Linked DNA regions of Macaca mulatta. The protein of the gene in region 2 binds, or shares a complex with, the protein of the main gene of each other region. Links are inferred from orthologs where the notes say so. Each region holds a gene or a part of one and is shown on either strand. Other genes may lie near its edges.

Evidence for each region.
Region 1: the proteins of KCNMA1 (region 2) and LRRC26 are in contact, whole or in part, in a cryo-EM structure (PDB 7YNZ), measured with the Homo sapiens proteins. The link is inferred for Macaca mulatta from reciprocal best matches to the Homo sapiens genes KCNMA1 and LRRC26. Residues at the interface, in NP_001154824.1 of Homo sapiens: Pro78, Cys79, Asp80, Ser81, Arg82, Gln84, Trp88, Ala92, Ser93, Val96, Thr97, Glu155, Trp158, Met159, Ser161, Val162, Trp165, Cys206, Leu226, Leu227, Phe229, Gly230, Leu231, Phe233, Ile234, Asp251, Phe252, Pro256, Phe259, Val260; in NP_001013675.1 of Homo sapiens: Gly204, Cys205, Gly206, Cys207, Ala208, Arg236, Leu237, Ala249, Phe250, His252, Cys253, Ala254, Gln255, Leu257, Arg260, Asp261, Leu262, Val264, Val265, Tyr266, Leu268, Gly269, Pro270, Ser272, Phe273, Ser276, Leu277, Cys280, Leu281, Leu283.

What each region holds. Positions count from the first base shown.
Region 1 is NC_133420.1:5,281,426-5,287,723, reverse strand, and holds LRRC26 (leucine-rich repeat-containing protein 26), read right to left. Parts: upstream 2,950-6,298; 5' UTR 2,005-2,949; coding exon 1,332-2,004; intron 1,247-1,331; coding exon 912-1,246; 3' UTR 816-911; downstream 1-815. Other genes in the region: TMEM210 (transmembrane protein 210), read right to left, coding at 2,950-3,139, 3,376-3,405, 3,603-3,738, 3,903-3,990. UniProt on the Homo sapiens protein: Auxiliary protein of the large-conductance, voltage and calcium-activated potassium channel (BK alpha). Required for the conversion of BK alpha channels from a high-voltage to a low-voltage activated channel type in non-excitable cells.
Region 2 is NC_133414.1:72,747,182-72,754,458, forward strand, and holds the end of KCNMA1 (calcium-activated potassium channel subunit alpha-1), read left to right. Parts: intron 1-1,464; coding exon 1,465-1,659; intron 1,660-3,607; coding exon 3,608-3,726; intron 3,727-5,633; coding exon 5,634-5,883; downstream 5,884-7,277. UniProt on the Homo sapiens protein: Potassium channel activated by both membrane depolarization or increase in cytosolic Ca(2+) that mediates export of K(+). It is also activated by the concentration of cytosolic Mg(2+).

The DNA of each region.
Region 1 (6,298 bases), on a different chromosome or scaffold from region 2:
CTGGGCCTCCCGTCCGTCCGCCCGCCCGCCCCGCTGCCTGGCGGGCAGCCCCTGCTGGACCAAGGTGCGGACCGGAGCGGCTGAGGACGGGGCAGAGCTGAGTCGGCTGGGCAGGGCCGCAGGGCGCTCCGGCAGAGGCAGGGCCCTGGGGTCTCTGAGCAGTGGGGAGCGGGGGCTAACTGGCCTCAGGCGGAGGCGCTTGGAGCAGAGACGGCAGCCCCATCCTTCCCGCAGCACTAGCCAGAGCCACAGTGGGGCCCATGGCCCCAGCTGGCTGGGTCGCCCTTCCTCGGGCGCCTGCGCTCCTCTGCAGCCTGAGCTCCACCCTCCCCTCTTCTTGCGGCACCGCCCACCCACACCCCGTCTGCCCCTTGACCCCACACGCCGGGGCTGGCCCTGCCCTCCCCCATGGCCGTCCCTGACTTCCCAGCTGGCAGCGCCTCCCAGAGGCGTTCGGGCTCCCGCCGCCTCGGGCCGCCTCCTCCAGACTCGAGAGGGCTGAGCCCCTCCTCTCCTCGTCCGGCCTGCAGCCCAGAACGGGCCTTCCCGGACGCTGGCTCGGGACTGTCTTCAACCCCGCCCTGCACCTTGGGCACGGGAGAGCGCCACCCGCCCGCCCCCGCCCTCGCTCCGGGTGCGTGACCGGCCCGCCACCTTGTACAGGACCAGCACTCCCAGGGCCCGAGCGCGTGCCTTCCCCGTGCGGCCCGTGCGCAGCCGCGCTCTGCCCCTCAGTCCCCAGGGTGCAGGCGCACATCGCCCACCCCCCACCTCCCGGTGTATGCAGTGGTGATGCCTAAAGGAATGTCACGCAGTTTTCGGTCTGTGTCGCTTGTTGACCCCGGCAGAGAGTGTAAAGGGAGGGCAAAGGCATGGGGGAAGCTTCGAGCGCTCCAGGCTGCCGCGGTCGCTCAGGCTTGGGCGGCAGCGGAGGGGCTCCCCGGGTCCGCAGGCGAGGCAGAGCCGTGGGGGTCGGGATCAGGGTTCCGGTCCGGCGGTCTCGGCGGGCGGAGGGCGGCGGTGCGGCAGCGGCGGCGGCGGCGCGCACGGCAGGCGGTGAGCCCGGAGCCTAGCACCAGGCAGGCGGCCAGGCTGACGAGGAAGGAGGCCGGCCCGAGCGCGTAGACCACGGCCAGGTCCCGCAGGGCGAGCGGCTGCGCGCAATGGCTAAACGCGGCGTCGGAAAAGGCAGTCAGGGGGCTGAGCGTCAGGCGTCCCGGCCACACGCAGAGCAGCGTCTCGGCCTCTGTGGGACACAGACAAGGGCGTGGCATCAGGCGGCAGCGGCCGCACCGCCCTGCAGACCCCAACCCGCATCCCTAACAGCTCACCTGACGCGGGCAGTGGGTGCCTGCGCAGCCAGGCGCAGAGCGGGCGCAGCGCGCACCCGCAGCCCCAGGGGTTGCCGCGCAGGTGCAGCGCGTCTAGGGCGGGCAGGCGGCCCAGCAGCCCCGGCGCGAGTGCCGCCAGCTCGTTGTCCTGCAGGCTGAGCGAGCGCAGCAGCGGGAGCGCGCCTAGCGCCGCCGGCTCCAAGCTCGCCAGTCGGTTGCCGGCCAGTGAGAGGTTGCGCAGCGCGCGCAGCGGCGCGAAGGTCCCTGGTGCCAGCGCTTCCAGCTGGTTGGCGCTCAGGTCCAGCAGCTGCAGCGCGCCCAGGCCCCAGAAGGCTCGCCCGTGCACCGAGCGTAGCCCATTCTCGCGCAGGTCCAGGCGCTGTAGCCCGCCCGCTCCCGCGAAGGCACCGGGCGGCAGCGCGCGGACGCAGTTATGGTCCAGCAGCAGCGCGCGCAGGCGCAGGCTCAGGCCTGCGGGCACGGCGGGCAGCGAGAGTGCGGAGCAGCTGGCCAGGCCGCCCGGCACGCACGTGCACACCTCGGGGCACTCCGGGGCGCCCGGGGACCCCGAGGGCGAGGCTGTGGCCGACACCTGGGCCCAGACAGGCCAAGGCGACAGCAGCAGCAGCAGCAGCAGCAACGGCCGAGGCCGCGACCAAGAAGGGCTCCGCATGGGGGCAGCCCCGGCACCCGCGGTGAGAGGCCCGCTGCCTGCGTGTCCCCGGAGCGCGTCGTCCGCGGAGCCCGTTCCTGCGGCGCCTGAACAAATATTAACTCTGGCCCGAGCGCAGACAGTTCCTGTCCCACGGCTGGATCCACGCTTGGGGCGGAGGCAAGGCAAACAGCCAACGCCCGGCACCGCCAGCCACCTGTCCCGGAGCTCCAAACTACTCTTGGCTTAGCGCCGGCCACAGCGCTATCAAGACCACCTCGCCCCGCCTTGTCCACCACCGGGCGCCCGCCGAGCCCTGAGCAGCAGGACACCGCCCACCTGCACCCACCCAGCTCACGGCTGCGACAGGCTCCCGCACGCAATGCAACCCAGAGGTCCTACTCCTCACCCGTCTCGACCCCACCCAGGCTCAGCAAAGTGATGCCAACGTGCACACGCGGAGTGGCCCCCACGCAGGGATGGTCCCGTTCCCATGGTGGATGGGGCCTGGGTTGGAGACAGGCTTTGGGATGGAGGGAGACAGCACACCCCAGGCAGGAGAGGTGTGCCTGCCCCACCCCTCCCCCTAGGACTCTCCTGGACCGTCAGAAAAACAGACCAGTGCAGTGGGGCAGCGGTATCAGCCCAAGTCCTCCTGTTAAACCCAGCGCCCTTCGGAGTTGCCAGTTTCAGGTCCTGTTCTAGGGGCTTTCCAAAGCAGGGTGTAGGGAGGAGCCAGGCTGACCAGCTGTGGTAGAGAAGGTGGAAACATTATGGGTTTGGTTTCCTGCCCTGGGGCAGAGGAACAGGGGAACCTGGTGTGGGGCCTGGGTGCCCTGCTTTGATGAGACCCATATGCGTGTGCACCCCCCATGATGCAGCCTTGAGGGGTGTGAGAGCCTGCAGGGAGGACAGTACACAATCACTAAATACACTTTAATTCCCCTCCCCCAGCTGCCCTCAGCCCTACTCAGGTGGTAGGGGCGGGGGTGGCGGCGGCTCCTCTGGAGAAGCCTCCATGGGAATGGCCACAAGGCTCTGATCCTCTAGTGGCGGCATCATGGAGACCTCCAGGTCAGCGTCCATTAGCTGGGACTCCACATATACCGGGTGCAGGTCCATGCGATTTTCCTGGACCCCAAAATTCTCCATCAACCTGCATGACAGGGGCCGGGTCAGCACAAGCTGGTGGAGTCCTGATCCTCCAGGGCAGGCCAGTGTCTGGGACAGCGCAGTCCCACAAAGGGCCTCCCCTGGGACAGCACCCCTCCTCCTCCAGGGACTCCCTTGGGATAGCTTCCTGCGCCAAGGGCCTCCCCTAAGACAGCACACCCCACCCCAGGACCTCCCTTGAGACAGCGCACCCCCCTCGAGGGCCTCCCTGGTGCTCACCTGTTGTCCACTAGTCTCGGGCATGTTTCACTGAGGGGATGAAGACCGACATGAGTCCTGGAACAGTGCTGGGCCCCCGAACCTCCCCCAACACACGCCTAGGAAACACCATTCCTACCCCAGGTGACAGCCCACCCAGGGGTAAAGGCCCCTCTTGCAAGACCGAGGGCCCAGGGCAGGCAGCCTGGCCTCACTCCCATCCACTCCCGGCCCCGGGGTTCACGCACCCCTTGGCCCGCAAGACACCAACTGCCACGATGACAAGGGCACAGAAGCAGCTGGCACTGACGCCCGCCAGCACCACAAGGAGGGCGATGAGGGCTTCGCGGCTGAGGCCAAGGCTGCATTCACAGTAGGTTCCAGCTGCAGAGACAGGGCCACATAGCCATGGGGCCGGTCACCTGCCTGTGGAGGGCCTCCAGGTCTGCCCCTGCCCTGGTGGCCACCAGAAGGACACCAGAGCTCCCGCCTTGCCTGGGAAAGGGGAGCCCTGGCTGGGAGCAGGGTGAGGGGGCAGGAGGAGGCACCTGCAGCAGGGATGAGCAGAAGAGACAAACATGTGAGGCCCAAGGGGCCGCCACGCAGGCAGGACGCAGGCTGGGGACCAGGGGCCATGTCCAGCCCTGGCCCCACTGCACACCTCTGACGGAACTATTGGAAGGCGCTGACTTCACAGTGGGACTGTGAGGTGGGGGTGGGGGGCCTCACGGTGCCAGTGTGTCATTTGCCCTTGGGCACCGCGATTCAGGGAGCCACTGACAAAAGCAGCCCTGGGAATGGGACAGGTAGGGTGGACAGAGGCCTGAGAGAATGGCCAGCTCAGGCCAGTTCTGAGGCAGAGGCAGCAATGGGGCTGGCCTGGTCTTACGGGCAGTCCTTCACAGTGGTTTCACCGTGTTCGCCAGGATGGTCTCGATCTCCTGAACTCATGATCTGCCCGCCTTGGCCTCCCAAAGTGCTGGGATTATAGGTGTGAGCCACCACGCCCGGCCAAGTCCTTCACAGTGAAAGGGGGTGGGCGGCACTCCAGGCTCTGATGTGGGTGCAGTGGCCTGGCAACCTTGGGGGGTGGGCGGTAGGCAGCCTCGGCCTCAGCTCCCTCCCAGCATAAGGACTGCGGCAGCTCAGCGTGTGGGCTGAGCCCCAGCTGGCTGCAGGTCACCTTCCTCCAGGGCCGGGGCAGGAAGGAGCCAAGGAGGGCTAAGCAGGTGGGCTTGCACTCAGCCTCCCTCACCACTGCTTCTGGGAGGGTCTGGCTCATGCCCTGGCAAAGCTCAGGTCAGAAGGGCTGCTGGCACATAAGGGAATCCCCCATCAACCTGGAAAGGTCTGGGGTACACTGGCCACCCCATCTGAGCAGGACCCCAAGCCTTGCCTCCCGGACATCCGCCATCCAAGGCTCCAGACTAAAGGCGTCACTGAAGTTGGAGCCCCAGGGGCTGTTTCCTCTGCAGAAAAGGCAAGTGTTGCCCAAGGAAGTCGACCACAGGCCAGCATGGCCAGGGTTAATTCCAGCCTCCTTCCTGAACCTGCTGTTCCAGGCTGGGAGAGAGGCCCCTGCCCTCCCGGCTTCCCCTCCTCTGAACCTGCCAAGCAAACCGCCAGGCAGCAGAAGGAAACACCTGCCCCACAGCCAACCAAGGCCAGGCCTCCTGCCAGCTCAGGACCCATGGGGCGCAGAGGGGCGGGGTGGGCACAGCCTGGCCCCAATGGACCTGGTCACCAGGGACCCCCTTGCCTGTTGACAGACACCCTCCTGCTGAGGTCCTCGGACCTCTGACTTGCTGAGTGACACCGTGACCTGACATGCACCTTTTACCCTTGTCTTCAGGACACATCCAGGGATGGAATCCACAGACACAGAACAAAAGGTGTGCCAGAGCCAGGCTGGCAGTGACACCGGACAGGCCAGCCCAACAGGTTTGTATCCTGCTTAGGACAATGGCACACCCAGCCTGGGGCCAGGTGGTGGCCATGGTCAGCGGGATCCAGGCAAGGCCACCGCCTGAGGGGAAACAGTGGGCATCAGAGCAATCGGGACCCCCCACACCAGAATTCAGGAGAGGGGTCCCTCTGTGTGACAGCAGCACAGCCAGCCTTGGAGTGAAGTGGAGCAGGTGGCAGGGCCCAGGGCTGGAAGGGAGATATAACATGGGCGGAAGCAGCCCTCCTTGGCGGGGCAGAGGCCTGATGGCCAGAGGCTGTGCATCTGACACCTGCCTAATCCCAACCACTTCCTCCTTCAAGCCCCGAGGCAAACAGAGTTCTCCAGAGTCAGGAGGGTGCAGGCATGTCCACGGAGCAGGACGGCTCAAACAGGCCAGATCTGGAGAGGTGGGAGGGTGCTGGGCGGCGGCTGCAGGAGCCCAGGACAGTGGACATGTGGGAACCAGCAAAGGTATCTGGGGACAGCAGCGGGAGCACTGAAGCCAGGCGCAGCACACAGCCTGGGAAGGTGCTGCAGCAGGAGCGGGACTCGAGGCGCCGGTTCAAAGGGCCTTTGTCCCCCGGGAGGACGGCACCATCGGGGTGGAACATGTCTGGCCTGGAAATGGCACCTCTGGGAGAGAGGCCCAGATTTTAGCAGCAGAAGAGCCCAGAGCTGGACCCTAGGGCCCTTGTTCAGCTTTGTGGCGTCTCCCTCTCCCAGTGCCAGCCTCTGGGACAGGCCTTGGGCAGCCTGCACACGCATGACCACACATGTGGGGGACATGGGGGCGACCTGCCTTTCCGAGGCACACCTGTGAGGCCAAGCTCTGCGGCCACCCTGCCCAAGTGTGGAGCAGGGGACAAGTGCCCAGTCCCTCTGGCCACCAGGGCATAGCTTTGAGCAGAGCTTTGCTGCCGGAGATGAGGTGTGTTGGCCAAGACATCATTCGCCAGTCTAAGCAATTCCAACTGAACCCATGCAACGTCCCAGCCT
Region 2 (7,277 bases):
TTTACAGATCACGAAAGGAGGCACAAAAATGTTAAATAACTTTCAAGGTCACACAGCTTCTGAAAGATGAAGTTAGCATAAAACCCTCAGCCCAACTCTGGATCCCTGGTTCCCATAACCTCTCCAGCAACATATCCTACTTTAAGTATCCTTTTCCTGCATCTGTGCCTATGGGCATCTCTTAACCCTGAGCATAAATTTCCTTTAGGGTCTGGCAGGCTATGAGTAACATTCCTAGTTTCTTTTGCAGTTGGAATTTTGTATCACATTGGGGTGTTTTTGTAAGTATTTCAGTAAGGAATGTGAATCCAGCCCCACTAGCAACTATCATCTTAATTCAGAAGTCCTCATGGAATTCTGTGAATATAAATTTGGTTTTAGTGACTGCACTTATTTTACAGATGAGAAAAATCAGAGCCCAGAATGACTAGGCAACCTCTAAGACATAGAACTAGTTAGCAAACCTGGGATGGGAACTTGAGCTCACCCTTACTTGGTTTGTTCCCTGCTATGCCTTGCCAGGTAAACTCTCTAATAAGTTGCTGAGGTACAATTGCATCTTTCCTTACCTCTTTCCAAAGTACATCCTCAAAAGCCACAGGCAAACTTTGATTTGAGTTTTTAGGCTGCTTGATTTCTACTTACATAGGAAAATGGAATGCACACCCTTACCTGAGAATTTCTCAAATTAGGCTGGTGACAAATACCTTTTAAAGCTCCTTTACTTGACATCCTATTAATTTTTTTTAAACTCCCATTGTTTTGTTCCTGACAGATCTGTTATGTTTCAGATGTGACACAAATGTACACTTAGGGGGAAACTTCTTTAATAAGTGATATTTGCCTCAGACTACTGAGGTTATTTTAGAAAACAAAAGCCAAAGTACACTTACCAGGACATTCACCTTGTCATAAATTTATCTGGCATATTTAATTGATCGAGATTTCTGGGTTAGACAGTTATCAACGCATGTGATAAATTGTTGAGCATGCGGCATTAATGAAAGGTTTTGCCATTGTCATGGGGAGGAAGCTTCCTGGCACATGGGTGACAGGACCTCAGAGACAATGCCGCTTGGGTTAGCAGCTGGGGCAGGCTGCATTTTATTACATGTGTCCAGAGTCTCATAGTAGACATGTAGACTTGAGGAGGGGGAGGCAATATTTGTATCCCTACTAAAACCAATTATGGTAAACACTAATTATTCAGATTTGAGCTCTTTACTAAAAATCCCCTGAACTGGGTTTTTTAAGTCAGGCTGTCATGGCAGAGCCAAGCAGGAGAGAAAATAATGGAATAATTGGAGGCTGCTGTCTTTTCACTTCCCACATAAAATTATTTGAAGAGACAGGCCAGAACTTTAAACAGGAGATACCAAGAAAAGTTGTAATTTGGATGTCGGCTGTCATGACTTTAGGGTGTTTGCTTAAAGGACTTTCCCCCCACTTTCTCTTCTTCCCCAGACATACTTCAATGACAATATCCTCACCCTGATACGGACCCTGGTGACCGGAGGAGCCACACCGGAGCTGGAAGCTCTGATTGCTGAGGAGAACGCCCTTAGAGGTGGCTACAGCACCCCGCAGACACTGGCCAATAGGGACCGCTGCCGCGTGGCCCAGTTAGCTCTGCTCGATGGGCCATTTGCAGACTTAGGGGTGAGTCCGCAGCACCATGGTCACCTGAGCTTGCTGTTTGGGAAAAGCTTGATCCTGAAGAACGTGGTGTCAGATGTGACAAGCAAGGCATCTGTCTTTTCTCCTTCCTATTGTAGATAATTGTAAGAGGTGATATTTATGGTTTACTCTGTATCAGGCACTTCGTTCTATGCATAAGTCATTCATTTTAATCTTCATAGCAACCCTTTGATGTAAGTTCTAGTATCACACCTTCTAAGTCAACTGAGGCTCAGAGAGAATGAGCACTGGACCTATTGGGAATTTGCACCAAGGCATCCTGGCTTCAGAGCCTGTGGGCTTTCTCACTCCTTGGTGTTCTCTTCACGTATCCTCTGCACGAGGTGGAAGGCAGCAGGTGATTCCAGCATGCAGCCAAGGTTGGGAAATATTTCCACAGGCTCTTAGCATAGCTTAGGGATACTCAACCCAACTATACATTAGTAGCACATGGAGGTGGCCAGCCTCATCCTTCAGGTTTCTTAGATTTTATATGTGAGTATGACCCAGGCACTGGTGGTTTTCAAAGCACCAGGGTAGTCAGTAGTCAGATGTATCCAGAACCACCAGCCAAACAAACAGAATCTCATGTGGATCCTTTAATGCCTGTAATTCAAAACCTAGACCTTGTAATTTCTGAGACTGGACCCAGTCACGTTCCCTCGGGTCCTCCCTGTGACAGAAGTGGCCAGCATCTCCCTTCTGATTCCATGCGCCTGCCTAGCGTAGGCACTGTGACAGAAGTGTAGTGTCTTTGCCCTTATTCCCAGCTCAACCCCACAGATGCATTTAAGAGATGCAGCCATATTGATAGAAACTGATAAACCTGTTACGCAAACAATAGTGTTGCCCAGAAAGACTAAATAGTGGAAAAGGAGCCAAGGAAAGGGTCTGTCTCTGTTTTTTCTGAAACAATTCTGCATACTTGCCCCATATTTTAGTTTGATCATGGGCTGGGACTTATGTGAGACTAGGCTTTTTTTGAAAGGGAAGTTTCATAGCTAGTGGCTCTTTATACGTATCATTTACTTACTGATGCACTTGATTAGGATGAAGACTTTAGATAATGGTAAGCTTTGGTCCCATCTGTGTTCTTTAGTATGAGACCAATATGAGAATTCCAGTGATTGGAAGGACGAAGACAGTCATTTTATTCCCAGTGAAGCCATCCCGCAGTGCCCAGTGCCCTTCATGTAATACTGTTAACATCTACCTGAAGCCACCTGGCTGCTGAAGCCAGCATTTCCAAGTGGATGCATTTGCTTTCACTTTCTGCATCAGGCCCCAGACCCTGGGAAGGTGGCTGTGAATTGATCAGAACTGCGAATCCCAGTTATTCAGCCTGCAGGCCCCTGGCTCCTGGGGAAACACATTCTCTTCCACCCTTGCCATCTCTGAGGTCTGTAAATTGTGCTTTTCACAGGGTCCTTACCTGAAAGAGTCTGTCACCATAGGACCTGGTGGGGTCCTCCTCCTCGCTGTGGTTTTCATTATCACTCAGGCGGTTTTGACAACACGATCCTATCACAGTGGTTACAGCTGAGCTGGGGCTGAACATCATCACCATTTTGCAGAGAAGGGTTCATCTCCTCAGCTGAGCATGCATCTGAGACCGTCAGGCTTTACACTTTCACTTAAAGTGAGGGAGAAGCATAATCTCCTTAGAGCTTTCAAACCCCATTGCTACAGGTGGAAAACTGGAGAGACACCAGAGGAAAGCCCCATTGTTACCTGATCCCTAAAAATCACACATATTGTCTGTAGTCTGTTAACCATGTGGACTTCTTCCACTGCCGTCCCTTGGCACATGGACCCTCCAACTTGGGAGACACCAAAACAAGCTTTGATGAAAAGACCCTTTTCCCTCCTGGCCCTTGATTTTCAGGCAAATAAAAAGGATGTTTCTCTCTGTTCTGTTGCTGTCTCCCAGGATGGTGGTTGTTATGGTGATCTGTTCTGCAAAGCTCTGAAAACATATAATATGCTTTGTTTTGGAATTTACCGGTTGAGAGATGCCCACCTCAGCACCCCCAGTCAGTGCACAAAGAGGTGAGTATTGGTTTCAACTCTGCCCTCCCACCTAATCACAGAAACAATAATCCCCTACTGTAAAGGCAAAGGTCTGTATACATCTCCCCAACATGCAAATTACCCTGCCCATATTAAATCCGGCACTGAGTTTGGAGGTGATGGGAAGCATTTTTCTATAATTACTAATAGTGGATGTAAAGACATTTTGGTAAGAATTCAAGTTTTGTATTAATAGAATAATTCCATCACCCAATTACAAAAGTCTGAATACAAACATCTCTCCCAAACTCCAGCTACTAGGATAACATCTGTTGGTATCTAATATAGAGATATATCATTTCACATTGCTAGTGTTTATGATAATTTTTTTGTTTTTTGAGATGGAGTCTTGCTCTGTTGCCCAGGCTGGAGTGCAGTGGCGCAATCTTGGCTCACTGCAACCTCTGCCTCCTGGGTTCAAACGATTCTCCTGCCTTAGCCTCCTGAGTAGCTGGGATTACAGGCACACACCACCACACCCAGCTAATTTTTGTGTTTTTAGTAGAGACAAGGCTTCACCACGTTGGCCAGGCTGGTCTCGAACTCCTCACCTCAAGTGATCCACCCACCTCGGCCTCCCAAAGTGCTGGGCTTACAGGTGTGAGTCACCACACCCGGCCCTAAGACAAGTGGTTCTTCTGCCATATCTTAGAATCCTGTATTTTTACTTCATATATTTTAAATTGATTCACTTTTTAACTTTTATATATTTATTTTTGAGACAATTGTATATTATCACCTTAAGCAGAAAAAATAACAGTTTAGATGTGCTAATTATATTTTTCTCATATGCATTAAAATAAATTCATAGCAGGCAAAAATTAAAAGTACATCCTAGAATTACCAAGATCAGTGAGTTTGCATAATATACCCTAGGCAATAGTGCTGCAGAGACAGGCGTTTCTCATCCCTGCTTGCATAGTAGAATCACCTGGGGAGCTTTTAAAAAATATTCTGATTACTCTAATTTAACTTGTCTGGAAGGAAGAAAAAATCATATATATATTTTAAAATATATAACAATTTTATATATAATACCCAGGGATTATTGTGTATAGCCAGAATTGAGAACAATTGCTATAGACCAGTGGGTTCTCAAAATTTAGCCAGCATGATGAGACTCACCTGCAGAGCTTGTTCAACCACAGAACCTATCCTCAGCACTTCCAATTCAGTAGGTCTGGGTGGGGTTGCTTAAGAACTTGTATTTCCTAGTTCGCAGGTGATGCCGAGCTGTGTGGCCTGAGGACCACACTTTGTGATCCACTGCTCTAAGTGAAACAGGGTGATCATCTTAGTCACATCTGCTGTTGACCAAAGAAAGCTCCAACTCATTGTGAAGAACAACAAAGTAGTGCTGATAAGTAGGCAGGGTTCTTAGATTCTTCCACGTGGTGAATTCCAAATTCCAAATTCTCCCACCAAAACAGATTTTAAAAGGTAAAGAGCGAGAATATAGTCTAAGGAGACACTCTGTAATAGTAAGCAAAGATCTTGTGATGTATATCTGGGATTGTCCAAAAATTCTGGAATGAAAGTTGCATCACACTTCATGAAACCTCCTGCGGCTGGGCTACTTGGAAGTGACTTTGACCTTGTATAGAAAGGTACCTGTAGACCACGAGAAGCAAAGTTTGGTCCTTCCATTACTGGCCCTAATTCCACATCTCTGCCTGGGCTCCTGGCTGGCCTCCTTTGTTGAGTTAAACAGAGGAAGTTTCCATTTAACAAGGAAAAGAATGTTTAAGGCCTCGGACCAGCTAGAAGTGCATCTTCCAGATCCTCTGAAAGTCCTGAGTAACCAGGCCATTGCTTTTGGTTCAGGGAGGGTTGAATTCTCTACTCAGTTATTCTCGGGCGGTGACATCTCTGCTTTTCCTGTCCAGGTATGTCATCACCAACCCCCCCTACGAGTTTGAGCTCGTGCCGACGGACCTGATCTTCTGCTTAATGCAGTTTGACCACAACGCCGGCCAGTCCCGGGCCAGCCTGTCCCATTCCTCCCACTCGTCGCAGTCCTCCAGCAAGAAGAGCTCCTCTGTTCACTCCATCCCATCCACGGCAAACCGACAGAACCGGCCCAAGTCCAGGGAGTCCCGGGACAAACAGAAGTACGTGCAGGAAGAGCGGCTTTGATATGTGTATCCACCGCCACTGTGTGAAACTGTATCTGCCACTCATTTCCCCAGTTGGTGTTTCCAACAAAGTAACTTTCCCTGTTTTCCCCTGTAGTCCCCCCCTCTTTTTTTTACACATATTTGCATATGTATGATAGTGTGCATGTGGTTGTCATTTTTATTTCACCACCATAAAACCCTTGAGCACAACAGCAAATAAGCAGACGGACCAAAAGTTATTTATGATTCTAGGGGAAAAATAACCCAAAGGCATGCTCCAGACATAAATAGCTCACTGCAGGAACGAGTTCACAGATTAGAAGGGAGCCCTTGTGATCAATGTCAGTTAGGCAGAGCAAGTTTATTTAATGTAAAAGAAAAGCTGATTCTGATTTATCAGGATTATCAGGGTGCTTTGGGTTTTGATTTTGTTGTTGTTGTTGTTGTTTTCCTTTCTTTCTTTTTTTATACACACAATAAGTTAGTACATGTTTATTTGAAACAAGCAACCAGACAGCAATGAAAACATATCGATTGTTTCCAGTCTCTGGGCCGAAGTATTGCGAAGCCTTTGAAAAGCTTTCACAATTTGTGTAGATGATTTTGAAGGACTTGCTTGTTGCAAGAGAACATCAGAGATTTTTTTTAGTTACTCACCAACGCCTTTTGTCCCAGAGCCAGTTCCCTCTGGGAGTTCTTATGAACATTTCTCACCTTAATGTGGAGGAAAGAATAGTATTCCAATCATGGATGTATCAAATTCTAGTCATTTAGTTTAAGTGAAAAGAGGTTTGATTGCATATTAAATTGTTATTCTGTCTCCTTATGTTGCCATATGAATAGCTAGTTTTTTTCTTTCACTTTTGACATTTGGGATGAAAAGCCATATGTATCATAAATATCAGATGTAAGTCATTAAAAACTGCCTTCCTGGGACTTTCACATCTTTTAAAAGGTGAATTACTTACCTTATGTACAGAATAAATAATGCTCAGGAAAGAGCAAGTATTTTTCCATGTATCCTCAGGGGATCCTTTTACTCCCCTTTGTTTGATTAGTTAGGGCCCCAATGCCAGGTAGGAGGAAGGGCTGGGGCAGAGTGAGAGGAAGACAAACCCAGCTGCAGATCATGTTTTTCTAGGAGCTGACATGCTAAATAAATTAGAATGTAGGAGGATCAGCCACAGTTGACTCAACAAAGACAAAAGACAGCCACCACCTTCAACTGTTGGTGCAGCTGCACGGTGCTGGCTGTCCCAATGAAGGAAGCTGGTGGGAAAGAATTCCTCATCATCACTTTAGTTAATGTAGCCAATTTAGGCAGGGTAATGACGACAATAGAGAGCTGCTCCTTGTCATTATGAGACGTGGGATGAGAAGAGTGCAACAGTGAGCCAAACACGTTTTGGTATA